Linked DNA regions of Callithrix jacchus. The protein of the gene in region 4 purifies or fractionates together with the protein of the main gene of each other region. This does not show direct contact. Links are inferred from orthologs where the notes say so. Each region holds a gene or a part of one and is shown on either strand. Other genes may lie near its edges. The genes, in order: TSR1, TBL3, RBM34, IFI16, EXOSC6, NVL and GNL2.

Region 1 (3,665 bases), on a different chromosome or scaffold from region 4:
GTGAGGTATGTAATAAACGGGTAGGAGTAGGGACAGAATAAGAAAGACCTCAAGAGCCAAGCAGAGTTAAAATACCCTGGAAATGGCCGGATGTTTGACTCACATCTGTAATCTCAACACTTTGGGAAGCTGAGCCAGGTGGATCACCTGAGGTCAGGAGTTTGAGACCAGCCTGGTCAACATGGAGAAGCACTGTCTCTACTAAAAATACAAAATTAGCTGGGTGTGGTAGCGCATGCCTGTAATCCGGCTGAGGCAGGAGAATCGCTTGAACCCGGAAGGCGGAGGTTGCAGTGACCCATCGCACTCCAGCTTGAACAAGAGAAAAACACTGTCTCCGGAAAAAAAAAAAAAAAAAAACCCTGGAAATTAGAAAATGGTCATTTGAAAAATTTTGACAAGTTTTGGCATTCTGTTGCATTCATCTTCTACATGAGGACCGGTATTTCTGGGTCTTTCTGGTTATTCTGTTTGATTTGGGAGATTTTTGGTTAATGGTTGACTATCACCTGCTTTTTTGGTTTTCAGATTTGTGCTACGGATACTGTAGATGATATGGAAGAAGACCTTAAGGTCCTAATGAAGGCAGACCCTGATAGACAGGAATCCTTGCAAACAGAGGTTATCCCAGATCCAATGGAGGGGGAGCAAACCTGGCCCACTGAGGAGGAGATGAGTGAGGCAAAGGGTTGGTATTGGTAAACTTGTTTGTAATTCATCTGACCTGGAATTGTGGATTTCCTCTAGCTCTTCAGAGTGAGAACCATATGGGATAGAGTGGGATAGGGATATATTTGAAAGTCTCTCCTCATCCTCAAATGTTATATGTTTTCACTAAACAAACATTAGACACAGCTTTGTTCCATTTCTCAAAATAACTTGTGTTAATGTTTTATCATGAACAGATAAACAACTTTGGATTCATTGCAGGGCTTATTTAGCTGTGTAAGTATTGCTAGTTGTGAGGCAACGGAATTAAATTTAGAAGTAGTTAGTTCTGCTTATGGTGTCTGCTGGAATTTCCCATGTTGGCAGCAGCGTCTAGTGCCTTGCCTGGGTGAGAATAACCAGAGGGATAGGGAAAGGATAGCTATAATTTACTTAATTTGTTTGGGCTTTTACAGATTTCTTGAAGGAAAGTTCTAAGGTGGTAAAGAAGGTCCCCAAAGGAACATCCAGTTACCAAGCTGAATGGATTTTGGATAGTGGCAGCCAAAGTGATGGGGAAGGAGATGAATATGATGATATGGAACATGAGGATTTTATGGAAGAAGAATCTCAGGTAAGGAAATGAGGCCTTAGGCCATTTCTGTGTCTAGCTTCAAACATAAAGCAAAGTGCAATTGTAATCTTGAGGGGTGTGTATGTTTAGTTTCTTAGGAATGACTCTAGTTGCCAGGAATGAGGCTTTTGTTTTCTGCTTTAGGCCGTATTAGAATCTATGTTAGTTGGGAATAGGTATCCAATACAATTATTTTACTCTTAGCTTATTGGCCTTTAGGGTGTGGATTTCTTCTGAAATAAATAATCCTTTATTCTACAGGATGAGAGTAGTGAAGAAGAAGAGGAAGAATATGAAACTATGACTATAGGGGAGTCTGTGCATGATGATCTGTATGATAAGAAAGTAGATGAAGAAGCTGAGGCAAAAAAGTTGGAGAAATATAAACAAGAAAGACTGGAAGAGATGTTTCCGGATGAGGTGGACACCCCCCGTGATGTGGCTGCTAGAATTCGGTTAGTCAGTAAATCTAAATTAAGTCAATAGGTTTTAAAAACTTGGCTCAGAGCTATGTCACTGTGATACAAAAGAAGAAAAACACATTTTTCCTGCTCCTGAAGAGCTAACATTTAATATGGGAAGGCAAGACATACATACATACATACATACAGGAAATGGTAATATATAATCAAGTTCTAGACTGTGGTACAGACTACTATTACAGGACTTTAATGAAGGAGAAATACTAAGGTTAATTAGCAAATACTTCTTCCCAAAGGAGCCAATACTCAATTGAAGTATATAATGTTTGGAGATTTTAGGGGGTTTGGGTAGAATAGCAGAAGTAGAAGAGTGAAGATGTAGATGATTATATCTATTCTGGAGGTGAGTGACTAAAGCCAGTGAATTAATCTTGGATATTAAGGAGATAAGGCTGTGTATTAAGCCATTCTCGCACTGCTATGAAGAAGTACCAGAGACTGCGTAATTTATAAAGAAAAGAGATTTAATTGGCTCATGGTTTTGCAGGCTGTACAGGAAGCATAGTGCTGGCATCTGTTCAGCTTTTGGGGCAGCCTGAAAAAAACTTACAATCATGGCAGAAGGCAGAAGGGGAGCAAGTTATGTCACATGGCCAGAGTAGGAACAAGAGACTGAGGCAGGATGTGCTAACACTTCTAAACAACCAGATCTCATGAGAACGCACTCACCAACGGGGATGGTGCTAAGCCATTCATGAGAAAACCTCTCTCATAATCCAGTCACCTCCCACCAGGCTCCACCTCCAACATTGGAGATTGTATTTCAATATGAGATTTGGGCACGGACACACATCTGAACTATACCAGGTCATTACCAAACATCTTTTTTGTCAGGGAGCCACTATAAATCCTTTGTCTTTTGTCAGTGGGAAGCTTGGGTTTGGTTCTGATACAACTTGTTACAAGTTGTTTTGCAGTGTGGTCTTGGTTTAAGCTGATAGTTTATTTTGAGAGATAGTGATTGGAGTTCTTTTGAGCTAGATCCTTAGCCATTTTAGCAGTGACTTGAGTCTATATAGCACCATGTAAATCTGACTTAATTTTTATAAAATCTTCAATATTCTAGATTTCAGAAATACAGAGGCCTCAAGAGCTTCCGGACATCTCCATGGGATCCTAAGGAAAACCTTCCTCAAGAGTATGCTCGGATATTTCAGTTTCAGAACTTTACTAATAGCAGGAAAAGCATCTTTAAGGAGATTGAAGAAAAAGAGGTTGAAGGAGCTGAGGTATCTGCCCTTGTCCATCTTGTATGTTGCTTTCATTTGTCAACATGCTCCCACTTTACTCCTTCTCTTGGCATGGAAATATGCTGCGTTGGGAAATTAGGGGAGCCCCTGAGTCATCGACAAGAATGATACTGGAAACAGCCCAGGTGTAGTGGCTCACCTGTAATCCCAACACTTTGGGAGGCCGGGGTGGGCAGGCCACCTGAGGTCAGGAGTTCGAGAGCAGCCTGGCCAACATGGAGAAACCCCATCTCTGCTGAAAATACAAAATTAGCTGGGTGTGGTGGTGCATGACTGTAATCCCAGCCACTTGGGAGGCCGAGGCAGGAGAATTGCTTGAACCCAGGACGGGGAGTTTGCAGTGAACAGAGATCATGCCATTGCACTCCTGCCTGGGCGACAGTGAGACTCCATCTCAAAAAAAACAAAACAAAACAAAAAAAAAAACAAAACAAAACAGGCCGGGCGCGGTGGCTCACGCCTGTAATCCCAGCACTTTGGGAGGCTGAGGCCCATGGATCATGAGGTCAAGAGATCAAGACCATCCTGGTCAACATGGTGAAACCCCGTCTCTACTAAAAACACAAAAAAATTAGTTGGGCATGGTGGCGCGTGCCTGTAATCCCAGCTACTCGGGAGGCTGAGGCAGGAGAATTGCCTGAACCCAGGAGG
Region 2 (4,346 bases), on a different chromosome or scaffold from region 4:
TTCCCAACACTCACCCCCAACTCATGCTTCCTTCCAGACAAAAGACCTGTCCGTGCTGCAGGAAACAGGTGAAAAAGAGAAAGATCGTCTACGAGAATAAACTCCGGAAAACCATCAGCCGCCTGGAAGTCAAGGTAGCTCAAAAAACCCACTCCCCCAACCCTTTACCCTCCTCACCCTTGTAGGGGTGGGGCAGGGCCAGTACAGGGGGCAAGGAGAAGTCCCATCTTCGGAGAGAAATGAGTGCCATCTTGGGTGGTCAGACACGGCTGAGTTTGAACTGTGGCTCTACCGCTTAGTTCTGTGTGACTTTAAGCAAGTCACTTACCCTTTCTAATCCCCTGGCATCTCAGCTGTAAAATGCAGATTATAAAGGATTTTTAGAGGATGAAATGCCTGGTGTGCCGGCCACTACTCTCTAGCCCACTAGTTTTACAGATGGGTAAACTGAGGTTAAAAAGGAAAACCTGAGATGGGCATGGGTGGCTCATGCCTGTAATCCCAGCATTTTGGGAGGCCAAGGCAGGTGGATCACGAGTTCAAGACTAGTCTCGACAACATGGTGAAACCCTGTTTCTCCTCACACAATACAAAAATTAGGCATGGTGGCACACGCCTGTAATCCCAGCTACTTCAAAGTCTGAGGCAGAAGAATCGCTTGAACCTGAGAGGTTGCAGTGAGCCGAGATCATGCCACTGCACTCCAGCCTGGGCAACAAAATGGGACTCCATCTCTGTCAGGGGTCAGGGGGAAGCCTGGCATCCATACCACTCACCAGACCAACCCAGCTGTGGACCTTCCAGTTCCCCAAGCGTCAGGCCTCATCCCCTCCCCTGGCATGTCTGCCTTCTTCCCAAGTCCATGCATTTGGCCCGTGTTCTCTCTCCACCACCTCACTGGAGTTAGCAAAGTATGGGAGGCTCCCGGGTCCCTGGTTCCTGGTGAGTGGAAAGCCAGGGACGGGGATTCCGTGAGTGTCCCACCTGGGTTGCTTCACACGTGTGCTCCTTCACCCTCAGTGCAAGAACGCCGACGCTGGCTGCATGGTGACATGCCCCCTGGCCCATCGCAAAGGGCACCAGGATTCGTGCCCCTTCGAGCCAATGGCCTGCCCCAACGAAGGCTGCACCTCGCGGGTCCCTCGTGGGACCCTGGCCGAGCACCAGAAGCTTTGCCAGCAAAGGAACCAGCAGCGCTGCCCCCTGGGCTGTGGGGCCACCCTGGACCCAACCAAGCGTGCTCACCACAACTGCTACCGGGAGCTGCACGACGCCTGGAGCGCCCGCCAGGAGCGCAGTCAGACCATGCTGCTGTGCCTGCTGAGGCGCGTGCGCCAGCTGCACCGGGCCACCCGCATTGTCCGCCGAGAGCTGGCGGAGCTGGGCAACTTCCTGGAGGGCACACCACAGGAGGAGGCCGAGGCCTAGGCTGCCCCGGAAGGCAGCGTCTGGGCTGAGGTACGGGGTGCTCAGGGCCAGAGTATCTTGTAAATAAATAAACGCAGAGCCCCGCACAGCTGTCACCTGTGCGTCCCTGTTGGCCTTTCCAGGCATGACTCCCTTCCTCCCAGGGATACTCCACGGGCTTTCTCCAAGGGCTCTGTGTTCCGTCACACCATGGGGCTTGGCCTGGCGACTCCCCCTGCCTGGAGAGCTCTTCCCTTCGCCTCCATTTGCCTGCGTTCATCTTTTTTGTTGTTTTTCTTTTTTGTTTGTTTTTTTGCCTGGAATGTTTTGTTTTGTTTTGTTTTGTTTTGATTTGGAGTCTCTGTTGCCACGCTGAAGTGCAATGGCGTGATCTCGGCTCACTGTAACCTCCGCCTCCTGGGTTCAAGCAATTCTTCTGCCTCAGCCACCGGAGTAGCTGGGACAACAGGCGCGTGCCACCATGTCCAGCTAATTTTTCTATTTTTAGTAGAGACGGGGTTTCACCATGTTGGCCAGGATGGTCTCGATCTCTTGACCTCATGTTCCACCCACCTCAGCCTCCTAAAGTGCTGGGACTACAGGCTGGGATTTTAAAGTCGGGGGCCGGGCACAGTGGCTCACCCTGTAATCCAGCAGTTTGGGAGGCAGAGGCAACCAACCTGACCAACATGGCGAAACCACTTCTCTACTGAAAATACAAAACTGAGCTGGGCATGGTGGCACAAGCCTGTAGTCCCAGTTACTCAGGAGGCTGAGGCAGGAGAACTTCTTGAACCCAGGAGGCAGAGGTTGCAGTGAACCAAGATTGAGCCACTTCACTCCAGCCTGGGCAACAAGAGTGAGACTTCATCTCAAAAAATAAAATAAAGGGAATACAAGAATGTATTTTCTTCTTGTTTTCTTTTTTGGGTCCGGGTCTTGCTCTAGCGCCCAGGCTGGAGTGCGGTGCCGTGATCATGGCTCACTGCAGCCTCAACCTCCCTGGGCTCAAGTAATCCTCCCACCTCAGCCTCCTGAGTAGCTGGGACTACAGGCGCACACCACCACTGCTGAATAATTTTTGTGTTTGGTGTAGAGATGAGGTCTCACCGTGTTATCCAGGCTGATCTCAAACTCCTGGGCTGAAGTAATCCTCCTGCCTCTGCTCCCCAAAGTGTTGGGATTAGAGGTGTGAGCCGCCACGCTGGCCTGCTTTACTTCACTTAAGTGTTTTTTTTTTTTTTTTTTGAGACGGAGTTTCGCTCTTGTTGTGACCCAGGCTGGAGTGCAACGGCGTGATCTCGGCTCACCACAACCTCCGCCTCCTGGGTTCAGGCAATTCTCCTGCCTCAGCCTCCTGAGTAGCTGGGATTACAGGCACGCGCCATCATGCCCAGCTAATTTTTTTTGTATTTTTAGTAGAGACGGGGTTTCACCACGTTGACCAGGATGGTCTTGATCTCTTGACCTCGTGATCCACCCGCCTCGGCCTCCCAAAGTGCTGGGATTACAGGCGTGAGCCACCGCGCCCGGCCTCTCCTGTGTCATTTATCATGAGCCACACTGCGAGCCCCGAGGCAGGGTCAGGTTCACCGCTCTAGGCTTGGACCTCACCCGACTCCTGCTGCCTCAATTTCCGGAACGCCGAAGGGCAGGAGTAAACGAATGCCTTTTTATACTGCTATCAAAAGGCCAGGCTGGCCAGGCGCGGTAGCTCTCGCCAGCACTTTGGGAGGACAAGGCGGGAGGATCACCTGAGGTTGGGAGTTCAAGGCCATCCCGGCCAACATGGTAAAACCCGTCTTTAAAAAAAAAACAAAAAAAAAAAACAGGCCAGGCTACGGCGATGCCACCCACGCTAGTTTCCCGCATCCGCCCGCGCAGCACCGTCACGGCTCACAGCCCACCCTCCAGGCCGGAAACACCTCCGCCCGCTTCCACTTCCGGATACAGCCGCCATAACCTGCAGCAGAAATGGCGACAAGCGCGCGGCGCCGGTGACGTCACAGGCGTCGCGCGTGGTGACGCCATCTCAGCGCGCCGGGAGTGCGGAGCTCCGTGCCAACCTCCCTCCTCACGCGGTGGAGGCTGCCGGGGTTCTAGCCGGTTTCGGCGGGAGCGGCGGCCGCAACATGGCAGAGACCGCGGCCGGAGTGGGCCGCTTCAAGGCCAAGTGAGCTCGGAGCGCTGGGGCCACGCGGGGAGGGAGCCGGGTTCGCAGCAGGCGTGGCGGAGACGCGCGTGGAGTGGGCGTCCATTGGGGTCTGGGAGGGGAGGGGGTACGTGTGCGCCGGCCCGCGGGGTCGCGGAGGCTGCGATGATACTAGGTGGGAGAGCAGGCTCCGACTGCCCTCGGGGAGGACGGGGACCTAAGCCCGGGCGCAGCAGCCTGGGCTCAACGAGAAGCCGGCTGTGGGGTGAAGTGGGGACCAGAAGTCCGGGTGAGGGCAGGGGAGGGCTGAGCGTAGGTCGGGGCTGGTCCCGGCAAACGGCGGAGACGAAGAACCACCTCTAAGCACTCGGCCTGGGGACTCACCACCCTCGAACCCTTTTCTCCAGGGAGCGGGGAGACAGCAGGGGAGGGCAGGTCTGCCGAAGCCCAGGAGGGCCTCAGTCCTGTGCCCTGTCACTCCCAGGTGACCTCAGGGGTGCCCCCGCCGTGGCAGCGCAGTCGCATGGGATTATCATTTCCATCGGCGGCTGTGGGGCTTTGGTTGTGCCGAGCACTGGTAAAGGAAAGCCCCTGGCTGGCAGCACCGCCGTGGGAGGGTCGACTGGGTTCAGGGGCTGAGGGGTTGCTTTCGTCTTGGCAGTCAAGCTTCCAGAAGCGCACTGAGCCAGGCCCTGACCTCTGGGAAGGGAAGCCCAGGCCACACACAGGGGACGGGGAAGATAGGAAACCTGTCCCAGGGGCTGGGAAAGGAACCATGGTGGGCCAT
Region 3 (4,051 bases), on a different chromosome or scaffold from region 4:
CTTGGGAGGTTGAGACAGGTGGATCTCTTGAACTCAGAAGTTGGAGAGCAGCCTGGCCCACATGGTAAAATCTCATCTCTACTAAAAATACAAAAGTTATTCGTGTGTGGTGGCAGGTGCTTATAATCCCAGCTACTCAGGAGGCTGAGTCAGGAGAATCACTTGAACCTAGGAGTGGAGGTTGCCGTGAGCTGAGATCGCACCACTGCACTCCAGCCTGGGCCACAGAGCAAGACTTTGTCTCAAAACAAAATGAAAACAAGAAAACTGAATTTATAACCTGCCATAATATATTGCTATAACTGCACCTACCCAAAAGATGTCCTAGTTCTTTCTTTTTTTTTTTGAGACGGAGTTTCGCTCTTGTTACCCAGGCTGGAGTGCAATGGCGCGATCTCGGCTCACCGCAACCTCCGCCTCCTGGGTTCAGGCAATTCTCCTGCCTCAGCCTCCCGAGTAGCTGGGATTACAGGCACGTGCCACCATGCCCAGCTAATTTTTTGTATTTTTAGTAGAGACGGGGTTTCACCATGTTGACCAGGATAGTCTCGATCTTGACCTCGTGATCCACCTGCCTCGGCCTCCCAAAGTGCTGGGATTACAGGCTTGAGCCACCACGCCCGGCCAGTTCTTTCTTTATACTAGTTAAATGTTTCAGATATTGGATATTAGAAGGACTAAATCATTAAATCTCATCCACCTTCTCTACAATAGAGTAAATAATTGACATTCAGGTATAAGAAAGTTTTATTCTTTGTACAAAATTAGTAATATTTAGTTCATTAATTTTTTTTAATGGATGAGAGGTTTATATGTTGCCCATGCTGGCCTTGAACGCCTGACCTCACCTCTTTGCGCACCAGGACAACTGGCCTGAGCCACCGCGACTCCGTAGTTCATTAATTTTTAACCAGTGTTTCATGCCTGACAATATTAAATAGTAAAAGAATATACAGGTCGTGCATGTTGACTTGTGACTGTAATCCCAGCACTTTGGGAGGGCTGAAACAAGAGGATTGATTAAGGCGGGGACTTTAAGACCAGCGTGAGCAACATAGGTAGACACCATCTCTACAAAAAAAATACATAAGTAAGGCTGGGTCAGTGGCTCACGCCTGTAATCCCAGCACTTTGGGAGGCCAAGGCAGTTAGATCACTTGAGTCCAGGAGTTCAAGACTAGCCTGGGCAATGTGGTGAAAGCCCACCTCTACAAAAAAAAAAAAAAAAAAAAACAGAAATCAGCCGGGCATGGTGATGCATGCCTGTAGTACCAGTTCCTTGCAGGGCTGAGGCAGGAGGATCACCTGAGCCTTGGGAAGTCGAGGCTGCAGTGAGCCATCCAACCTGGATGGCAGAGTGAGACCGTGTCAATAAATAAATAATTGGTCACGGTGGCCAGCACCTGTGGTCCTATCTACTCAGGAGGCTGAGGCTGGACGATTGCTTAAGATTGCACCACTGCACTCCAGCCGAAGTGACAGAGTGAGACCCTATCTCAAAACAAGAAAGAACCTGTTGTCATCCCTTGGTTTCCACGGCGTATTGCTTCTAGGATCCCTGTCACGTAGCAAACAATGTATATATCTGCAGATGCTCAAGTCCCTTATATAAAATGGCATATTCACACAAATATATTGTTTTATATATATATAAAATATTTTTAAATTGTTGTATTATTTGTTTTCAAGTATTTTCCATTTGTGATTGGTTGAATCGTCTGATACTGAACTCATGGATTTGGGGACCTTACTGTACATACTTTGGGATGTCATAAATTTTTCTTCCCTCAGTAACAACCCATTAGTACATTTCCTTTCAGTTTTTCCTTGTGCTGCCATTTTTATAGTTGAACTTCTCTCTGTAAATATAAAATTGTGTTTACGTCCTATTTTATGTTATTTTCTTTTGGGTAAGCATGTTCCATTGAGTGATGTAACAGAATCTATACTGTCATTTCTCTCGTGTTGGACCATGGTAGAATTCTCTGTTTTTCCCTGTAATCATGAAATTGCAGTGGTTACATGTTTTTTTGTTTTTGAAACAGTCTCACTCTGTTGCCAAGGCCAGAGTGCTGTGGCTCACTGCAGCCTCTGCCTCCCAGACTCTAGCAATCTTCCCATCGCAGTTTCCCGAGTAGCTAGGACTACAGGTGTGTGCCACCATGCCTGGCTAATTTTTGTATTTTTTTGTAGAGACAGGATTTCGCCATGTTTCTCAGGCTGGTCTTAAACTCTGAGTGAGCGCAAGCAATCTATCCACCTTGGCCTCCCAAAGTGCTAGGATTATAGGTGTGAGCCACCCTGCTTGGCCTGCGTATGTTTTTCTCCCCAGAGTTTGCTTGAATTATAGATTACTTCTTTAAGATCGATCCCCAGTAGGATATTACTAGATTAAAATGTGTTACCATTTTGAAAAGTTGAGAAATGGTGAGAATTGCCTGGTAGCTTTTTTAGAAAGATTGTCACAGCTTTTGTTGCCATTGTTACTATCTTGTAGTTACCTTACTGCTTCTCTGCTCCCTGTCTTCTATTACTTGATAAGCTTCTAAAGCCCTTTAACAAACATCTCATGGATATTCAGGGTTGTAAGCATTAATGGCTCTATATTAGAATAGAAATACATTACTTGGAATATTCTAGGAAAAAAAAAAAAAGAATAGAAGTATAACAGAATTTTGAATCTAAATGGAACCCTAGAGCGTATCGAGTCCAACATCTCAGGTACTGTAAAGAAGAGTTCCCTGCCCTCTGGCCACCTAATGCAGTGGGGCTTTGACAGAAAGATAGCTGTGAGAAGGAGGTTTATTGGTTTAAAATATTGTATGTGACTTAGAACCTTATTTTAGAATGAAAAAATGAAGTGTATAACATTGTGACTTAGCTGAACATTTCACAAGGCAGTGTGAGTGCTTCGTGGGGAAACTGGGGGGGAGCACGGTGGGAGACTTGGAGCATGGTAGCTTATACACCTGGGATTGGATGGGGATTATCTGTGCAAACTTGAAAGTCATTCTTATCAGTTAAAGTCACACTTCACTGGTTTCTTTGCAGAGGGGTTTCTGGTAGAAATTAATGTATTTCGTTTTCTTTTTATTCACAGAATACAGATTCTGTTCATCTTGCTCTGAAATTAAATAATTCTGAACTAATGGGAAGAAAACTCAGAGTCATGCGTTCTGTTAATAAAGAAAAATTAAAACAAAATTCAAATCCACAATTGAAGAATGTCAGTAAACCTAAGCAGGGACTTAATTTTACTTCTAAAAATGCAGAAGGACATTCTAAAAGCTTATTTATTGGAGAGAAAGCTGTTCTCGTTAAAAAGAAGAAGAAAGGACAGAAGAAAAGTAGATGCACTAAGAAACAGAGGAGACAGAAATAACCAGCAGCTGCTTTTTCTTTTCCTGCTGAGTTGCTAATAAAAGTGCTATTATCTTCTAATCACGTGTTGAGTTGTATAATTTTTTACGGATGGTATATACAAAATGTGGAGACTTCCACATTCTCAGTTTATTCACATTGTAATACTACCTTTACCTTTGAAGGTTTATCTTTTTTTTTTTTTTTTTTTTTTTTTTTTGAGACAGAGTTGTGCTCTTGTTGCCCAGGCTGGAGTGCAGTGGTATGATCTCAGGTCACGGCAACCTCTGCCTCCCAAGTTCAAGCGCTTCTCCTGCCTCAGCCTGCTGAGTAGCTGGGATTACAGGCACCTGCTACCACGTTCAGCTAATTTTTTGTATTTTTAGTAGAGACGGGGTTTTACCACATTGGCCAGGCTGGTCCGGAACTCCTGACGTCAGGTGATCCACCTACCTTGGTCCCTCAAGGTGTTGGGATTGCAAGCATGAGCCACCACATCTGGGCCTCCCTTTTCTTTCTTGTGCCTATTAAACCTCTGCTCTTAACCTTACTCCACATGTGCCTGTGTCCTTGATTTCCTTGGCATGAGGAAACAAACCTTGGGTATTACCCCAAATGATGTTGCTTCAGTATCTCACTTTGTTGCCCAGGCTGGTCTCAAATTGCTGGACTCAAGTGATCCTCCCATCGT
Region 4 (4,200 bases):
TTGCAGATCTGCTGCTGGGTTAACACAACATCATCTGCTAGATGATGCCATTTTTTTTTTTTTTTGAGACGGAGTTTCGCTCTTGTTACCCAGGATGGAGTGCAATGGCGCGATCTCAGCTCACCACAACCTCCGCCTCCTGGGTTCAGGCAATTCTCCTGCCTCAGCCTCCAGAGTAGCTGGGATTACAGGCACGCATCACCACACCCAGCTAAATTTTTTTGTATTTTTAGTAGAGACGGGGTTTCACCATGTTGACCAGGATGGTCTTGATCTCTTGACCTTGTGATCCACCCACCTCGGCCTCCCAAAGTGCTGGGATTATAAGCTTGAGCCACCGTGCCCGGAGATGATGCCGTTTATTTGACATCCTGGGGTTACAGCACTCTAAAGAGCACCCGCTGCCCTTTACAGAGAAAAACACATTGCTGAGCAAAGGATTAAACAGGCTCCCTTTGCTACCAGAAGTTCAGTGCATTTTCCAGGATTTTCAAGGCTTCATTGCTGTCAAGGTCTGAGCCCTACTATCCTCTTGTGTTTACCCATGAATAATGCAGAAAACATGAGTAATCATAAATCTAATCATTGAGGTAAAGTAACCTAGTCATAGGCAAAAGGACAGCTAGTGTTAAACTCCTTTATATAAATTTGAGCAACAATTTACATATTCATAACGACTTCCTGATCTGGAAAGCCCCAGGTGTGTCAACTATTAACAATTAGATGAATACTTCAGGTAATATTTAAACAAATAGCAATTTTATACCAGACATTTCCCCATCCAGGAGATGCAGTAAAGCACTGGTAGTGATAGTCACTTCTACCAAGATCTCCTCCTACCACTGCCACTCTGCACAGGAAAGGAGGGAGAAGCCACCTGCTTCGCTTATATCTGAGCATCATTTAAGGGAATATAGGTCCCTAAGGACCCACATGTAAGTCTGCTGGGTAAGAAAGTTCTAATGTTGAAACTCTTTTCAGCTGTTAAATTTTCTTAAAAAAAATACATATATATATATATATATATACTGATTTATTTGTATTTATATACATTTATGAGATACAAATGCAATTCTGTCAGAGCTTTTAGCGTACACAGCACGGGAAAAATGTTCATTGTACCCATGAAAGTAATTTCTCATCCCCCATTTGCTCTAACCACACACTTCAGCCCTCTTCAAAAGGAAACTGTTCCTTTTCTCTGACTAACAGAAACGAAACCTAAAAACAGTAGTGGGAGGAGTTTCCATGTTGTTTCCTAACTCCATTTTCTCTGGGGCAATAGCAGAGCAGCAGAGAGCCGGCACTAGTCAGATTACTCAGCGACTTAACCAAGGCCCTTTTTTCTTGTTATCTTTGCAAATACTTCATTTTCTTAGCATTTCAGGAAATTACAACATCCTGCAGTTCTGTTTCTGGGACCTTTACTGATTTATCTCCTCGCTTGAACAAAATAAGCATTGATTCCCGCATTTCTGAAAATCTCAAGATCTGGACCACTGTTGAAAAATTTCCAGTGAGGTGAGTACTGTTGCTAGTTTTGTAAATAAGGTCTTGTTACTTCTTTGAAGTCCCCAGAGTCGCAAGGGGACAATCAGTATCGGTTATTCAGGGTCATGGAGGATGGGAATAGGGTTGGGTTTTCAGAAAAGTGAAAACTGAGTTGCTTGATATAAATCCTTCACTTACTTAGGAAGATAACAGGCTTCTTTTATGCCACCACAACTGAGGACTGAACAAGAGAAAATGCATTTTGACCACTGTAGATTTTTTTTTTTTTTTTTAAGATGGGGGTTTCACCATGATGGCCAGGCTGGTCTTGAACTCCTGACCTCAGGTGATTCACCCACCTCCGCCCTCCAAAATGCTAGGATTACAGGAGTGAGCCACGGCGCCTGGCCAACCATTGCAGATTTTTTTTTTTTTTTTTTTTGGACACGGAGTTTCGCTCTTGTTACCCAGGCTGGAGTGCAATGGCGCGATCTCGGCTCACCACAACCTCCGCCTCCTGGGTTCAGGCAATTCTCCTGCCTCAGCCTCCTGAGTAGCTGGGATTACAGGCACGTGCCACCATGCCCAGCTAATTTTGTGTATTTTTAGTTGAGACGGGGTTTCACCATGTTGACCAGGATGGTCTCAATCTCTTGACCTCGTGATCCACCCACCTCGGCCTCCCAAAGTGATGGGATTACAGGCTTGAGCCACTGTGCCCGGCCACCATTGCAGATTTTAAAACTAATTTTCTGAGTATGTATTGGCATTCAATGATATTTAGAAGAAGGTTTTGGTTATTTTTACCAGAGGAAGTGTTGGAAACTCAGTAGCTGTGGTGGGTTCTCAAGATAGTGACATGAAAAAAGTATCACGAAAGAATATTAAGTAAAAAACACATCTGAGCATAGAGCTGTATTATGTGATATCATCCCAATTTAAAAAAACATGAGAGCAAATGTACACATACAGTGGAAAACTTTTTCCAGTTTCAGTTATTCAGGTATGTGGTGTCTTCATATTTTCATAAGTATGTTGATCTTCTATGTTTTTCCTTGTAGTCCTCTCACAATCATATATATTAGGTGTATGTATAATATATATTCACACACGTATATTATATGTATATATAATCATTTATACAAACGTGTACGCACATAGAAATATATGTGTATAGTGGAATGTGACATTTTAAAATGCTGATTTCAGAATTTTATGTATTATTAGATAAATGTTTACTATGTTCAAACATATCATTACAGATTTCATATATGTGTGTGTAGTTATGTCGGTGCATGTGCGTGTATATAAAGAGAAATATATACTAATAATTATAGTACCACGAAGCACTATAAAATAATAATATCATTAGATAAATTAGATGCATTTATTTTATTATTTTTTCTTTTTTTCTCACAATAATGCTTTGTAGCAAAATTAGATAAATTTATAACTAAAACTTATAATTTCCTAGTTGAACCTTTTATCATTATAAGGTATCTGAAGTTACCTTTGGGCTTAAGGTATATTTAAATTTACACAAGCATAAACTTGCTTTCTTTAGTGATTCTTTGCAAGATAATTTTTAGCAATTTTTTTCATCTTTTGTTAACATGTATTTATATTTCTTAAGTCAAATTTGACGAAAGTTGTCACTTAACAGATCAGACCTTTTAGGTGTATGCTGGTAATTAACAATCTGCTATCTTCTATTTATGACACTTCTATATTATCTCACTATCTAAGACAATTACTTTAGTGACTTGCCCTGTTCTTTTTCTACCCTCCCTTTACCATGCTGTTAGAATTTCTGTTTCTCTTCTCTTTGATCAGGGCTTTCTTTTTAAGATATTAGGAACACCTAAAGTTTATTTTTTACTTTTCCTATCTTTTGGCTGACAGCATTTTAAATTTTATTTATTGTTTTCTTATTAAATATTATTTTCAATAGATTTTTTTGTGTGGTATGAGGCTTTGTCTTGCAAAAAGACTAAGGCCCTGAGTATCAGATAATAGTTTTTTTTCGTTTGTTTGTTTGCTTTGAGACGGAGTTTCGCTGTTGTTACCCAGACTGGAGTGCAATGGCACAATCTCGGCTCACCACGACCTCCGCCTTCTGGGTTCAAGCAATTCTCCTGCCTCAGCCTCCTGAGTAGCTGGGACTGCAGGCACGTGCCACCACGCCTGGCTAATTTTTTGTATTTTTAGTAGAGATGGGGGTTTCACTGTTCAGCCAGATGGTCTGGATCTCCGGACCTCGTGATCCGCCCACCTCAGCCTCCCAAAGTGCTGGGATTACAGGTGTGAGCTACCATGCCTGCCCCAATTAATAGCCCCAGAAATTTAAATATCTTGGTTATACAAAAGGTACACAAAGACATCATTCCTAAAATTAAAACATTCATTAACTTAAAAAGAAACTGGAATCCATACCATGCACTTAGTGTCATCACGGAAGTGCACAGATGTTAAAAGGTCAAGAGGAGTGACACTCTGTCCATAAGAGGATTCTAAAATCTACCCGGAGACACAAAGCCACAATTGAGCCTTAAGTTTGTATGGGAAGTAGTCAAAGAAATGTGGGAATGGCTTTCCAGGCAATAAGAAGGAACTAGCAAAGTCGTTAGGCACGAAGATGTAAGTAAGGTGTGCTGTATCTTTGTGGAGCATAGATACAAGGAATACAAAAGCACTAGAAGTAAAAAAAGA
Region 5 (4,334 bases), on a different chromosome or scaffold from region 4:
GAGAGCTCTCTCTGCTGCCCAGGGCCTGAGTCACACCTGTAACATTTGAATGGGCACATCTCCATGTAGAAAAAATGCTTTCTTTTGCCTGGTGGTTCTGAGTTCCTAGATCTGAGGTGCCAAAGCTCTGGGGAAATGGAAAGTGGGTGCAGAAAGACTAGGTGCTGTGGGCCCCTCCTTTCCTAGCCCATGCCTCCTGCCCCTCCACTAACGTCCTGCTTCTACTTTCCCTACAGGTGGAGGACCACGCATAGGACCAGGACAGCCAAGAGGAAGCAGGATCTCCTCCAGGCTCATCAGCTCCGGGCGTTCTGGGGTAGGTCCTTGCCTTGCCTAGGTTGTGAAGGCCTCCTGGTAGCACCCATGCAACCTGAGATACCCGTTCTGGAGCTGGGTCAATAGAAGAGAACACAGGGCTTGGCCAGAAAAGCGGAAGGTTCACTGTTGCAGCAGGTTTAGCTTCTTAGGAGGTTACATTTCACGATGACAGCCATGGGACTGACAGCGTTAGGAGGGAGGTAGCCTGGGACTGTACCAGGTCGCCATCCTCATGAAGCTGAGGCTGTCTTCCAAGGGACAGCTGACAGCCCACCCCCACCCCACCCCAGCACTCAGGGGCAATCCTCAGTCCTGAGTGCAGACACGGCCACAGCTGCTCTTCACTCCCCTCTGGATGCACCAACAGCCAACAGATTTCCCTGGGATCCCAGTCTCCCTCCCTGCCCGAAACAGCCGGAAGGTCCTCGGCGTACACCCCACACCACCCTCTTGGGGCTCCAGACTCGTCATCCACTCTCCAAAGCCATCCTTCAGAATAACATGAGCTGTCTCCACTGGTGTGATACCATTTCAGACCTGCTCTGGAAAGGTAAGTCAAAAGGGAAAAAATAAAATTCATAAATCTTTTTCCTGGTCAAGGCTTCTTGGTGTGGCTCCAGAAACTCATTCTGGTCCTTGGGCTGCCCGGCACCGGCCCTTCCCCGAGAAGCCGAGTGCAGAGACCGGACCAGGCTGCCCTGCCTTCTCAATGGCAGTCACCTGGCTGCGTCCAGAGCAGCCTTGAGACCAGACCAGCAGATCTGGGAGCCACACAGGAAAGACCCCACCCTCGTGGTGAGTCAGGCCGGTTCTGCCCTATGGAGCAGCCAAGCCGTACCTGGCTTTCCTGGCAGTTCACCTGCCCTCTCTGGGCGTTGCTCAGGGTTTTCCTCCTAGGACCAAGGCACCACGTGAAGACGGCCCAGGACACCACTTCCCACCGGCTGTGGAGGCCTCTGGTTGTGCCGTTCTCCACATGGCCAAGGACAGATCTGGCTTCCACCCAGAGCAAAACCCATTCCAGCTACCCAGCCGAGTTGGGTCTTGCCCAGTACCAAACCAGGGTGGGGGGCTGGGGTGCACTCAGCGCGCCGCTGGGGCCATACAACTCTTCCTACTTTTGTCATATCTCAGCAGCTGTCCTGTCTCTGGTTCGTGTGGGGGCAGCTTCTCCTTCTATAAAGCACAGGGCCCACATCCAGTCCTGCAGCTGTTCTTTGCAGCCTATCTGTCCCGTTCAAGTTGGTCTAAGGAACGGGACCGGTTAAAGGCACCGCGGTCACGGCCCCTTGCCACCTGGGATGTAAGAACAAAGAAGCCGTGCTCTCTAAAATCCTGGACCAAGAAGAATCACAACAGAAGACGCTTTTCAGATATAGAAGTGTTTTTCTTTTGGCTCAGACACGGTGAGAAGGCACAGCCTCTTGTCCAACCTCTCAAAAGTCGCCCAGTTACGTCAGAGGGAGTCTCTGGCTGGCGGTGCAAAGGATCTATCCCTTAAATGACTACAGTTCCCAGATACCAGCTTCCAGGTAAGTTCCAAGTTTCCAGCCTGGAAGTCAGGCTGCGCTCACAGGTGTTCTCAACTGGGTCGCAGCTGAGAGCCGGCTAAAGGAGGAAAGTTCCTTTAATGAGGTTTGTAAAAAGCCCTTCCACCACCACAGCTGTCTGGCGCCTCGGCTCTGTTTCAGCCTCTCCAGGTGCTCTCCGGGGCTCCTGCTGCATATCTCGATGCAGGCTCGAGGCCCACGGCACGGGTCTCGGCGTGGCGTCCGTCGTTGTTCAGGGCGGGGCGGCGCCCCTGCGACGGGCAGCCCGCACCAGGCACTGCTGCAACACTGGATAGAGGCGCTGGCAGCCCTCGAGGCCAAGGCGTACGGCCTCCGCCCAGCTCTCGGTCAGGCCACCCTCCCCGCTACCCAGCAGCCCAGCCACCTGATTCAGGACGGGCATGAGTGCCACAGTGAGACCGGCGGCGGCGCGCTCCTCCTCGAGCCGCGTGGGGTCCAGTAGCCAGGTGGACGCGGGCCCCGGAGCGAGGCTCAGGCCGCAGCCCACCACCAGGTCGTACATCTCCACGCCCGCATCGGCCAGGGCGAGCGCAGCGGCGGTGAGCGCGGCGGCCAGGGCTGAGCCCCCGTCCTCCAGCAGCAGCGCAGACACCTCGAGCTGTGCACGCGGGTATCGGCCCAGGCGCACCGCTGGCTCCAGCGCCTCCTGCAGCGCCAGCGCCAGCTCACGCTCCTCACCGCCGCCCTGGGGAGCGCGGCGCCGGCGCCCCGCGAAGGGGGCGCGGCGGAAATCGCAGAGCAGTCGACCACGCAGCGCGGCCGGGGCCTCGCCACCCGCTCCGGCCGGGCCGCCCCCGCGCTCGCCGCCCTCGGCCTGGCGCGGGCCCGACACCGCGCACAACACCTTGGTGCCTCCTGCCTCCAGGTAGGCTGAGCCCTTGGCTTGGCTCAGCAACCCCGCGCGAGCGTACACGGGTCGCAGCCGCGTCGGGTCGCGAGCGGCGGGCGCATCCTCTTCGTCGGCCGCGTACAGCTGCGGCGGCTGTGATTCCTCCGGGCCGCGTATACGGCGGTGGTCCCCAGGCATCACGGCGCCTGGCGTGCGACCTGCTTCCGGCCGCTGCTCCACCACGCACACCAGCTCTTCCGCTGCTTAAAGATGCGCGCCTGCGCGAAGGATGTCGGGGAGCAGCCGGCTTCGCTATAGCGCCCTCTGAAGGCCTGGAGGGAGAACGGCCGGCGTCCTCAAAGCCTTGGTGCCGCTAGTGCAGGGCATGTGGCGTTCATACATACAACGGGGGCGGGGGGCGGCAGTTAGAAGAAAGAGGCTTCTCTGCTTCCACCCCTCATTTTCTGTTGAATTATGAACACCTCCCTCTATGTCACCTATTTGGCTTCCATCGCCACAAACGGTTGAGGCAACCACAGGGGCTACTCCCAAAATTCAGAGTTCTGGGGCTAGACAGTGAATACAGCAGCAGCCAGCAGGAGTCACAGCATTTATTCTAGACAGCAGGGGCCACAGGCTGTGGAAACGGCGCGCCCCCATTGGGAATGGGTAGAGATCCTGCGGCGTCAATTATTGCACATGGTCCTTTATTCTCTGCAGCGAAAATGATTCCCATTTGCTAACCCAGACAGCTCAGGTCTGGAGAGCTGTCCGCTCCAGATGCCTATCGATGCACAACAGCAATGCTGGGGTACTCAGGGCAGACATATAAGGAATACTGGGTCACAGGACCTCTTCCAGTTACCGTGGGGTTAGGAAGATGGTGGGAGCTCTTTAAAGGTCCCAAGATTCTAATGTTCTTAGAGCAGAGGAGGAACTCCTGGCTGGACCTATGGATCCAGTGCCAAACTCCTCCTTCCCCACCTCAGTTCTTCACATCCCCGAGGTGCAGCTGGGCAAAGGAAGTGGCCAGCTGCAGCGCCTCCTGCAGGCAGCCAACGTTCTTGCCTGTGGCCTGCGCAGACACATCCTTGCCACCACCCTTACCATCCATCAGGCCTGATACCTGCTGCACCCACTCGCTGGCTTTTAGGCCCCTATTGGCTGCATTCTGGAAGAAAAGAAGGGAAGGGGGAGTTAGGACACAAGATAAATGAGGAATGGAGGAAAAGAAATGCAGGAGCCATCCCCCACTCCTGCCCAGGGTGGTGATGCTGGCAGCCGAGACACGCTTAACAGCTGGTAAAGGGGGAAGTCATAGCCACAGCCAGGAAAGGACAGAGTGGCAAAGCCAAGTATCAACCAGACATCTTCACCAATGAGAAGGCCGGGGTAAAGGGCAACAGGTGTCTAGTTTCAAATGCCGATTGTGAACACACAGGCCTCAGGAATAAGCTTAAGACCTACACTGCCCCCCTGGTGTGAAAGGTCGTAGGCAGTTCTGACCTGGGGGACTTGACACAGGCACGTGATTTTGCCAGCCTCATTATCCACAGTGAAGAGCATGGCAGACGTCTGAGGGGAGTGCATCTTGAAGAGCTTCAAAGCTTCATTCA
Region 6 (4,095 bases), on a different chromosome or scaffold from region 4:
CAGAACAAGACCTTGTATCAAAAATAAATAAGTAAAAAAGCCTGGTTGTTGCTCACAACTATAATCCCAGCAACTTTGAGAGGCAAAGGCAGTAGGATTGCTTGAGTCCAGGTGTTTGAGACCAGCCTGGGAAAGATGGTAAGATATCATTTCCACAAAAAATGTAAAAATTAGACAGACATGGTGGTATACACCTGTGGTACCAGCTACATGGGAGGCTGAGGTGGGAAAATCTGTTGACCCCAGGAGTTTGAGGTGGTAGCGAGCAGTGTCACAACACTGCACTCCAGCCTGGATGACAGAGGAAAACCTGGACTCAAAAATAAAAAATTAAATTAAATGTATAGCTAAGTGAAAACCTATTTAAAATATTGTATAAGATTATCTTTAGGCTACGTGTATAAGGTGAATATGAAACATAAATAAATTTCATGTTTAACTTGGGTCCCGTCCCCAGATATTTCATTACGTATATGTAAACATTCCAAAATCTGAAACATTTTTTGGTCTTAAGCACTTAGAATAAGGGATATTAAATCTGTACTTTTATAATGAACCAAAGTGAAAGCTATAGAGGAACACTGACAATGTCAAATGCTGAAAAGCAGTCAAGTGTAAGGACAGAGAAGGGGCCACCAGACCCAGTAATTAGGAGTCACTGCTCCGAAAACTGAATAAACTGAAGGAGGAAGTTGTGGGACGCAGGAACATCAGAGGAAGAGTAATTCAGAGTGAATGAACGAGAACGAAGGTCCTGTGCTTGGCATGTTTGAGAAGGTCTGTGTGGTTAGGACAGGAGAGGAAAAGTAAACTAGGACAACAGAGGCCAGAATATGCAGGGCTTTTTAGACCGGTGTTACTCTGGATGTCTGTGACTCCACTGAAAGGTTTTGAGCAGAGCTACGGCAAGCTCCAATTTTTCCCTTTTTTATTTTTATTATACTTTAAGTTATGGAATACATGTGTAGAACATGTAACATAGGTATACATGTGCCATGATGGTTTGCTGCACCCATCAACCCGTCATCTACTTTGGGTATTTCTCCTAATGCTACCTCTCCCCTAGCCTGATTTTTCCCTTTAAAAGGATGTCTTGGCTATGCATGGTGGCTCACACTTGTAATCCCAGCATTTTGGGAGGCCAAGGGGAATTGATCACCTGAGGTCAGGAGTTCGAGACCAGCCTAGCCAACATGGTGAAACTCTGTCTTTACTAAAAATACAAAAATTAGCCAGGTGTGATGACATGCATTTGTAATCCCACCTACTTGGGAGGCTGAGGCAAGACAATCACTTGAACCCAGGAGCCAGAGGTTGCAGTGAGAAATGAAAAAAGGTGTTTCTGGCCGCTTTGTGGGTAATAGGCTTTAGGTAAAAGCAGAATCAGAGAGATCAGTTAGGAGGCTATTGCAATAGTCTAAGGTGGAGATGATAGTTTGGACTAAGGGTTAGAGGCAAAGACAGTAAGAAGTATTTGGAATATAATTTGAAAGTAAAGCCAATCAGGCTGTTGATGGATGGTATACAGGAAATGAAAGAAAGACTCAGAATGATCCTTAAGGTTTTTGGCCTTACCAACTGGATGAATGGTAGTATCATTTAACAAGATACAGAACACTAAGAAAATCACAAGTTCCACTTGGCCATTTTAATTTGGAGATACGCACGCTGCCTAGGCAGCTGGATATGTTAATCTGTAATTCAAGATAAAATCTGGATTGGAGATATAAATTTAGGGGTCATAAATATATGGAGGCCAGTGCAGTGGCTTGCACCTGTAATCCCAGCACTTTGGAAGGCTCAGGCCTGATTACTTGAACCCAGGAGTTCAAGATCAGCCCGAGTAATGTACTGGAAACCCATCTCTACAAATAATAATAATATATTAGCCAGGTATGGTGGTGCACACCTGTAGTCCCAGCTGCTGTGGAGGCTGAGGAGGGAGGATCACTTCAGTCTGGGAAATCGAGGGTGCAGTGAGCTATGATTGTGCCCATAAACAACCACTGCACTCTAGCCTAGGCAACAGAACGAGATTGTGTCTCGGAAAAATAAAAATAAAATGAAATAAATATATCAATAATATGTAGATACTATTCAAAGGTTATTAGACTGAATGAGATCACATAGGAAGTATGGATAGACAAGGGCGGTGTATGAGGAAAGAGGAGGAAGAGGAGATAAAAGAACAGTAGCTCAGAGCACTTCCAACATTTACAAGTTGGTAGAAAAAGATGGGTCCGAAAAGAAGATTGTTTGGGGGCAGGTGAATAAAAAAAAAAAAAGTAGAATGTGTAGCTCACAAATTACAAAGTGAACAAAAATCTCTCCTATCTTTTAACTTAGACTTCTTGGTTACATTCTAAGGTATTTGCCACACACTGCTTTTTACTGATGTCATTAAAATGAGAAAACCATAGGCAAGGTGCCTGTTACAGTTGCCAGACCCATGTTACCACGTTTTAGTGTTTAAGTTCCTTGAGAACGGAAATTTTTCGTATTACTTATGCCACCCCTTCTCAAGGACCTCTTACAATGAGAGCGTTGGAAGACCATTCCTGTACTAACTTCACAAGCCAAAGAGGTTAAAATTCAAAGGCTAACTCCACTCTCCTGAATGATCAGCGCTGAAGACGACGAGACAACCTGGGCAGCCCCACCAAGCTGCACCCTCCCACCGTCCCTGGCTGCTCCTTGTGACTCCGCACCCACGTGGGTAAGGAAGGCCCCGGCACCACCAACTCAAGAACAGACGCACGCCCAGACCCAGACTGGGGCAAGGAAACTAGTTGAGTTCCACGCGGACGCCGCCAGATAAAAGGGCAGTGGTACCCTGGGGCAGCAATCGGGGCCCATGGCGAGGCCGAGCGGTGCAGAATACACACCTGGATGACTCGCTGCTTGAGTTTATTATCCACGAACCCTGCACGTCTGGGCTTCATCGCGTCGCTCTCCCGAGCCACTGCTCCGATCGCCTGCTCCCAGTGAACCGGGGGCCTCGTAGGGGTTGCCCGGCGCGAATGCCGGGTCAGTAGGACCTGAAATGCGCCCCTCCTGGGTCCTAGCCCGCGCCGTTTCCATCAGAAAAAAAAGTAATGCGAATGAGAGGGAAAAATTCCGAGGAGCGGGAAAAGACTTGAACACATCAGGGAGTTTCTAGGGGCCTTATTTTTCAGGCATGCCCAGTGGGCCTTGGACGTTTAGGCCCCCTTTGAACGCGCTCAACCTTATTGGTTCCCCGCCGGGCGAACCAGGCTGGAGAAGGTTCCTACCCCGGCGCGGCGGGCGGGGAAGCTGTCAGCTACGTCCGCTGGTAAACTTGGTTTGCTTTCCTCAGGCTTTCCAGCCACACTTCATTCCAATACAAAGCTAGTCTTGGCAAAACCCGCGACAGTAGATAGTTGGAGTAATACAATTAGGATACAAACACACCACCAGCCTCTGCTTGCTTTCCCACATAGTTACATTTTTGGGGCCCCACGAAAGAGCTAGGTGAGTAAGGAAAGGAAGGACGGATTTATCCAGATAACTAAGTCATCTGTTACTTTTAGAATTCGTTTGACCTACGCTGTTACGAGCAGCTAATTTGTTGAATATATCCAGTGCAAGACTCCTTGGCCCAGAATTTTATTAAACGTTTCTGTTTGTTCCAGGTGAGTTTATCCTGCAGTTAGGGAGACACAAAGGGATAGTTACCAAGCATTTTTTTTTTTAAGTTGCAAGCTCTAGTTTCTGTTTTCTTCATTTCCATCGTGTTTTGAGTATTCTTATTTCAGGTCCTATTTTGCTTATGACAAGGTTAAGCGCAGTGTATTCAGGGGCAGACGGAGGAGAGAAAATGGAATTAAGGGTGTGAAGCTGGGTAAGGTGGCTCATACTTGTAATCCCAGCACTTTGGGAGGCCGAGGTGGGCGGATCTCTTGAGGTCAGGAGTTCGTGACCATCCTGGCAAACATGGTGAAACGTCGTCTCTACTAAAAATACAAAAATAAGCACTGAATTAAGTATTAGATTTCCCACTCAAACTATTGGTCCCTTTGGCTGCAACTTCATTTCCTACTTCTTCGCTATACTCTTTAATTTTTATTTTATTTA
Region 7 (4,111 bases), on a different chromosome or scaffold from region 4:
CTCGACAGTTCACTCACCAAAAACTCCTACCGTTTAGATATTTAAACATCCTAGCCTTTTCCACTCAGCATACATTTTGTACAGGAAAGTAACAGGGGATAATACTCACCAAACCATTTAATGTTTGGCTCTACTCTTGCCACTGTGCCAGAAGCCACCGTTGATTGATACTGCAGGGGTTTAATTATTTTACCACGATTGTTCCTATGTTGAAGAAATAACAGATTTTGATTGACAACACAAGAGCGGCAACGGCAAAGTTTGATCCGCAGAATATACTTCCGGCAAAAGGACTTCTTACTTTGGTTTTAAATGATCATGAAATACAGATTCCAGTGAACACAAAGTACTTCTACATTTGAAACAGATTGCCCAAAAGCCATTTAACCTCTTGCAACAGAGCACATAATGACTTCTGCTAGATGAATAACAATAATGGTGACGTTTTAAAACATCTGTTTACAGTTGGTTTACTTTTTAAAAAAAAAGGCACAAACTTGAGTCTTTTGGGTAATTATTTGAAGGCTGGTTTAAATAAATTTTTTAAATAGAGGGTGATTTACGCTGGAATTCCAAATTCTAAAACAAACTGCAAAGTAGGTGACTAATGCATATTAAGTCCATTGACATTTGTATTTTAGTCCCATCTTTTAGAACAGACAGAGATGGAGAATCTAATTACCAAACAAAGTAAGACCAGCTAGCAGAACGCCACACTCAGCAAATCCCTGTGGTAGAGGCTACGTCAGCAGAACTCAGAGTTATGATGAGTGTTCATGTGCCGCAATGTTGTGATCTTCATTTTGGCATTAAAAACAAGTTTTCTGGCAGCTTTCCTAACGATAGTCCTATAGGCTTTGTTTTATCTGGCCATGTTTAACTCAGATTCAATGCACCATTTGCGGAGGCCAGGGCTGTGAGAAACAAGACCTCTACTTTGAGTATTGTGAAACAACCACTGTTTCAACACCAGCTATCATGCCCTTAAGCAAAAATTAACAATTTAACATATCAACATTCATATAAAATTACATTTGAAAATACATAATTCCTATTTGGAGGAAGTTGGAGTAAGAACAGCAAAGGCTTAATCAATCTCTGCTAGCGGTCAAGGGCATGAAGGAAAAGGGAAAGGATGATAGCACCCAATGCTCACCTGCGCTCCTTTTGCCTATACATATTCAGGCGCCGGATGGTGGCCCGGTCCCTCATGTTTTGGCCTCCTGCTCCCTGCACTCGATCTACAAAAGGCGGAAGTACACAGTGCACTATCTGATAACCAACCAGTATAACCAACAAGTCATTGCTTAAAACGCAACAAGTAGTTCACTCAAAGCAGGTTAGCAGCCAGCCACCAAACATAAAAATCTCTATTTTCTTGATATGTTGCTCCAATAATTATAACTTGAAGCTACATGGTATGACAAAGCTGATCCAATCTTTGATCTTTGATAGGATTGTACCTGAGAAGAAAAAAAGCTAATATTTTTTAGCACTTATGATGACTGTAAGATCCACATTATAGGCATCATCTCATTTAATCCATACAATAATTTCATAGAGATACATTATCCCCATGCTGCAGAGTGAGAAACTGAGGCACAGTGGTCAGACACCTTGCCCAAGGTCAGTTACTAAATGGCAGAGCCAGAATTTGAACACAAGCATTTGATCACTATTTATGGTCTTAACCACGAAGACACCTACCTCTGTGTCTCAGTTTAACAAATATTGAGTGCCTGCTCCATGCAAGCACCATGGAGACTATGATTTTGATATGTATGTGTTCTTAGTCAGTTTCTTAATTTCTTAATGTTTGATTTTTGTTTCATCAACGTAGCAATTCTTGCCTTACATATCAAAGAGAAGGACAAAAGAGCAGGGTAATACTAGCCTAGCTTCTCATTTTGGGAGCCCTTTAAATCACCTGCCTGGTCCTGAAGTGATGCAGACGGCAGGCTGAAACCTGCTTTCTACATCACTTCAGGACCAGGCAGGTAATTTAATAGTAGAGACTGGTGGCTCTAGGACTACTAACTGTTGCAATTATGACAAGCCACTTCCTGTAAAATCATGACTCTAGGGGTCTTTTGGGGTCTAACATCCTGAGATCCAGTTTGTGCAAAGTGAATAATTTATGATCAATCCAGGGTAAACATTCAACACGTATTAAAACTGTCAAAAATTCTAAACCATATTTTAAAAGAAAGTTTTATTAACTAAACCTGAATGGAAGGAACTCTCCCACAGGGCGTCTTGTTCATTCTACAGGTGGAACCTCGCCAAAACGTACACACATCTCCAAAACAGCCTTACTGCAATGATCATATTGATTTCTTTGCAGGGTTTTCTAAGAACTTTGCCAGATAGAATGATTCCAAGGGCCAAGACTACAATCCCTTTCTCATTTTAAAGGTCAAAGCTAAGGTGGCAGGCAAGTATGATTACGTGTAAAAGACCCGATGGGTCAACCTACACCATTTTAAATCTGACTTTCTCTGCATCTCTGAACTGGAGAGGACCCAAGGCTGCCAAAGCCTGAATGTTCACTTTCCTTGACTTCAGACCAGTTGACTACACTTTGGCTTGCCAGGCGTGCAGTGTCAGCCCTCCTCAGTGCCCCCCGGGAAGAAACCACCACAAATACTGCTTTCCTTTTCATACCCAACAGCCACTCCGCTTGTGGTAGTTTTAAGCAAGTGCCCCTCCTGCCCCTCCAGTCCTCCTCGGAGCACTCCCCTACACTTCCCTCCAAGCTCCACCCTCGATCACCCCTGCCGCCTGTACCCGGGTTTGTGCTGGCCTTAGACGGGTTGATGGTGCTCCGTCCTTTGTATTTGGGCTTCACCATCTTGGCGACGAGAACGGGACCCGAGACCTAGGTCCGGCTTACGTCGGTCAAACGAACTAAGAAGTTCCCAGGCCCGGCCAAAGTGACCCGCGTGAACCACGCCGGACCACGTGTGCATGACCACCGTCACTTCCGCTCGCGCCCCTCTCTGACTCTGCGCGGCTTCCGGTAAACGCGCGGCGCGCACCACCTTATTCCTGGCTCCGCCCCCGCTCTGCGCCCTGCGCCGAGCCCCAAACCTTTCCAGCCCTAGCAACCGCCAAGCTGCCCCTCCATAGCAACCGCCTAGTTACCCTGGATGCGAGGCACAGAGCTCCCAGTTGGGTCCACCTCCAAATAAAGAAGCCTCTTCCCAGGCCAATGGCACAAGCTTAAATTTGTCTTCTGAATTTGTCTAAGTCCTTCCAAAAGTTGCCGACCGCACGGCAGCCAAATACCCGTTAGAACATGTCATCCTCTTCCTTACAACTCCAATGGCTTATCATGACTGTTAGAATGAGGGGTAGGGGAAGGGAGAAGGGAGAAACAGAGACAGAGATTGATTCAAACTTTGCCGTCTCCGCAGGATTCTGTGATCTCGCCCTTGCCTATTTGACCTCATGTGTACCTCCCTCCCTCTGGTTATTTTGACATTTGCACTGGATATTCTCTCTCTCTCTCTCTCTCTCTCTCTCTCTCTCTCTCTTTTTTTTTTTGAGGCGCAGCCTAACTCTGTTGTCCAGGCTGGATTGCAGTCGCATGATCTCGGCTCACTACAACCTCCACCTCTCAGGTTCAAGCCATTTTCATGCCCCAGCCTCCTGAGTAGCTGGGATTACAGGTGCCCACCACCATGCCCGGCTAATTTTTGTATTTTTAGTAGAGACAGGGTTTCACCATGTTGACCAGTCTGGTCTCGAACTCCTAACCTCAGGTGATCTTCCTGCCTCGGCCTCCCAGTGTGCTGGGATTACAGGCATGAGCCACCGCACTGGCCTACAAATGGATATACTCTCTGTCTGAATCACTCTTTCCCAGAATCTTTGCATAGCTGGTCATTCAATTCTCAGCTCAAATATTACCTATTAGTAGGCTTGCAAGAGTTAGCAAATAGAAATACAGGACACCAAATTAAATTTCAATTTCAGAGAAAAAAATGAATACTTTTTAAAAATTATGCTTCCAATAGTGCCTGGAAAATACTTCTAGTAAAAAAGAGTTCATCATTTGCCTGAAATTCAAATGTAACCATATGTCCTGCATTTTATCTGGTGAATCTTG

What was found.
Region 1: the proteins of IFI16 (region 4) and TSR1 purify together in Homo sapiens (affinity purification with mass spectrometry; 3 studies listed by BioGRID and IntAct, with this or other methods). This does not show direct contact. The link is inferred for Callithrix jacchus from reciprocal best matches to the Homo sapiens genes IFI16 and TSR1.
Region 2: the proteins of IFI16 (region 4) and TBL3 purify together in Homo sapiens (affinity purification with mass spectrometry; 3 studies listed by BioGRID and IntAct, with this or other methods). This does not show direct contact. The link is inferred for Callithrix jacchus from reciprocal best matches to the Homo sapiens genes IFI16 and TBL3.
Region 3: the proteins of IFI16 (region 4) and RBM34 purify together in Homo sapiens (affinity purification with mass spectrometry; 3 studies listed by BioGRID and IntAct, with this or other methods). This does not show direct contact. The link is inferred for Callithrix jacchus from reciprocal best matches to the Homo sapiens genes IFI16 and RBM34.
Region 5: the proteins of IFI16 (region 4) and EXOSC6 purify together in Homo sapiens (affinity purification with mass spectrometry; 3 studies listed by BioGRID and IntAct, with this or other methods). This does not show direct contact. The link is inferred for Callithrix jacchus from reciprocal best matches to the Homo sapiens genes IFI16 and EXOSC6.
Region 6: the proteins of IFI16 (region 4) and NVL purify together in Homo sapiens (affinity purification with mass spectrometry; 3 studies listed by BioGRID and IntAct, with this or other methods). This does not show direct contact. The link is inferred for Callithrix jacchus from reciprocal best matches to the Homo sapiens genes IFI16 and NVL.
Region 7: the proteins of IFI16 (region 4) and GNL2 purify together in Homo sapiens (affinity purification with mass spectrometry; 3 studies listed by BioGRID and IntAct, with this or other methods). This does not show direct contact. The link is inferred for Callithrix jacchus from reciprocal best matches to the Homo sapiens genes IFI16 and GNL2.

What each region holds. Positions count from the first base shown.
Region 1 is NC_133506.1:65,920,936-65,924,600, forward strand, and holds part of TSR1 (pre-rRNA-processing protein TSR1 homolog), read left to right. Parts: intron 1-528; coding exon 529-688; intron 689-1,124; coding exon 1,125-1,282; intron 1,283-1,543; coding exon 1,544-1,737; intron 1,738-2,830; coding exon 2,831-2,993; intron 2,994-3,665. UniProt on the Homo sapiens protein: Required during maturation of the 40S ribosomal subunit in the nucleolus.
Region 2 is NC_133513.1:4,777,118-4,781,463, reverse strand, and holds the start of TBL3 (transducin beta-like protein 3), read left to right. Parts: upstream 1-1,428; 5' UTR 1,429-3,253; coding exon 3,254-3,580; intron 3,581-4,346. Other genes in the region: RNF151 (RING finger protein 151), read left to right, coding at 38-134, 1,021-1,428. UniProt on the Homo sapiens protein: Part of the small subunit (SSU) processome, first precursor of the small eukaryotic ribosomal subunit.
Region 3 is NC_133520.1:50,097,351-50,101,401, forward strand, and holds the end of RBM34 (RNA-binding protein 34), read left to right. Parts: intron 1-3,100; coding exon 3,101-3,382; 3' UTR 3,383-3,441; downstream 3,442-4,051.
Region 4 is NC_133519.1:19,004,421-19,008,620, forward strand, and holds the start of IFI16 (gamma-interferon-inducible protein 16), read left to right. Parts: upstream 1-1,286; 5' UTR 1,287-1,521; intron 1,522-4,200.
Region 5 is NC_133521.1:31,651,535-31,655,868, reverse strand, and holds EXOSC6 (exosome complex component MTR3), read right to left. Parts: upstream 2,962-4,334; 5' UTR 2,917-2,961; coding exon 2,101-2,916; 3' UTR 438-2,100; downstream 1-437. Other genes in the region: AARS1 (alanine--tRNA ligase, cytoplasmic), read right to left, coding at 3,704-3,889, 4,225-4,334. UniProt on the Homo sapiens protein: Non-catalytic component of the RNA exosome complex which has 3'->5' exoribonuclease activity and participates in a multitude of cellular RNA processing and degradation events.
Region 6 is NC_133520.1:4,649,934-4,654,028, reverse strand, and holds the start of NVL (nuclear valosin-containing protein-like), read right to left. Parts: upstream 2,965-4,095; 5' UTR 2,943-2,964; coding exon 2,886-2,942; intron 1-2,885. UniProt on the Homo sapiens protein: Participates in the assembly of the telomerase holoenzyme and effecting of telomerase activity via its interaction with TERT. Involved in both early and late stages of the pre-rRNA processing pathways.
Region 7 is NC_133508.1:74,142,593-74,146,703, forward strand, and holds the start of GNL2 (nucleolar GTP-binding protein 2), read right to left. Parts: upstream 2,966-4,111; 5' UTR 2,852-2,965; coding exon 2,788-2,851; intron 1,242-2,787; coding exon 1,157-1,241; intron 205-1,156; coding exon 110-204; intron 1-109. UniProt on the Homo sapiens protein: GTPase that associates with pre-60S ribosomal subunits in the nucleolus and is required for their nuclear export and maturation.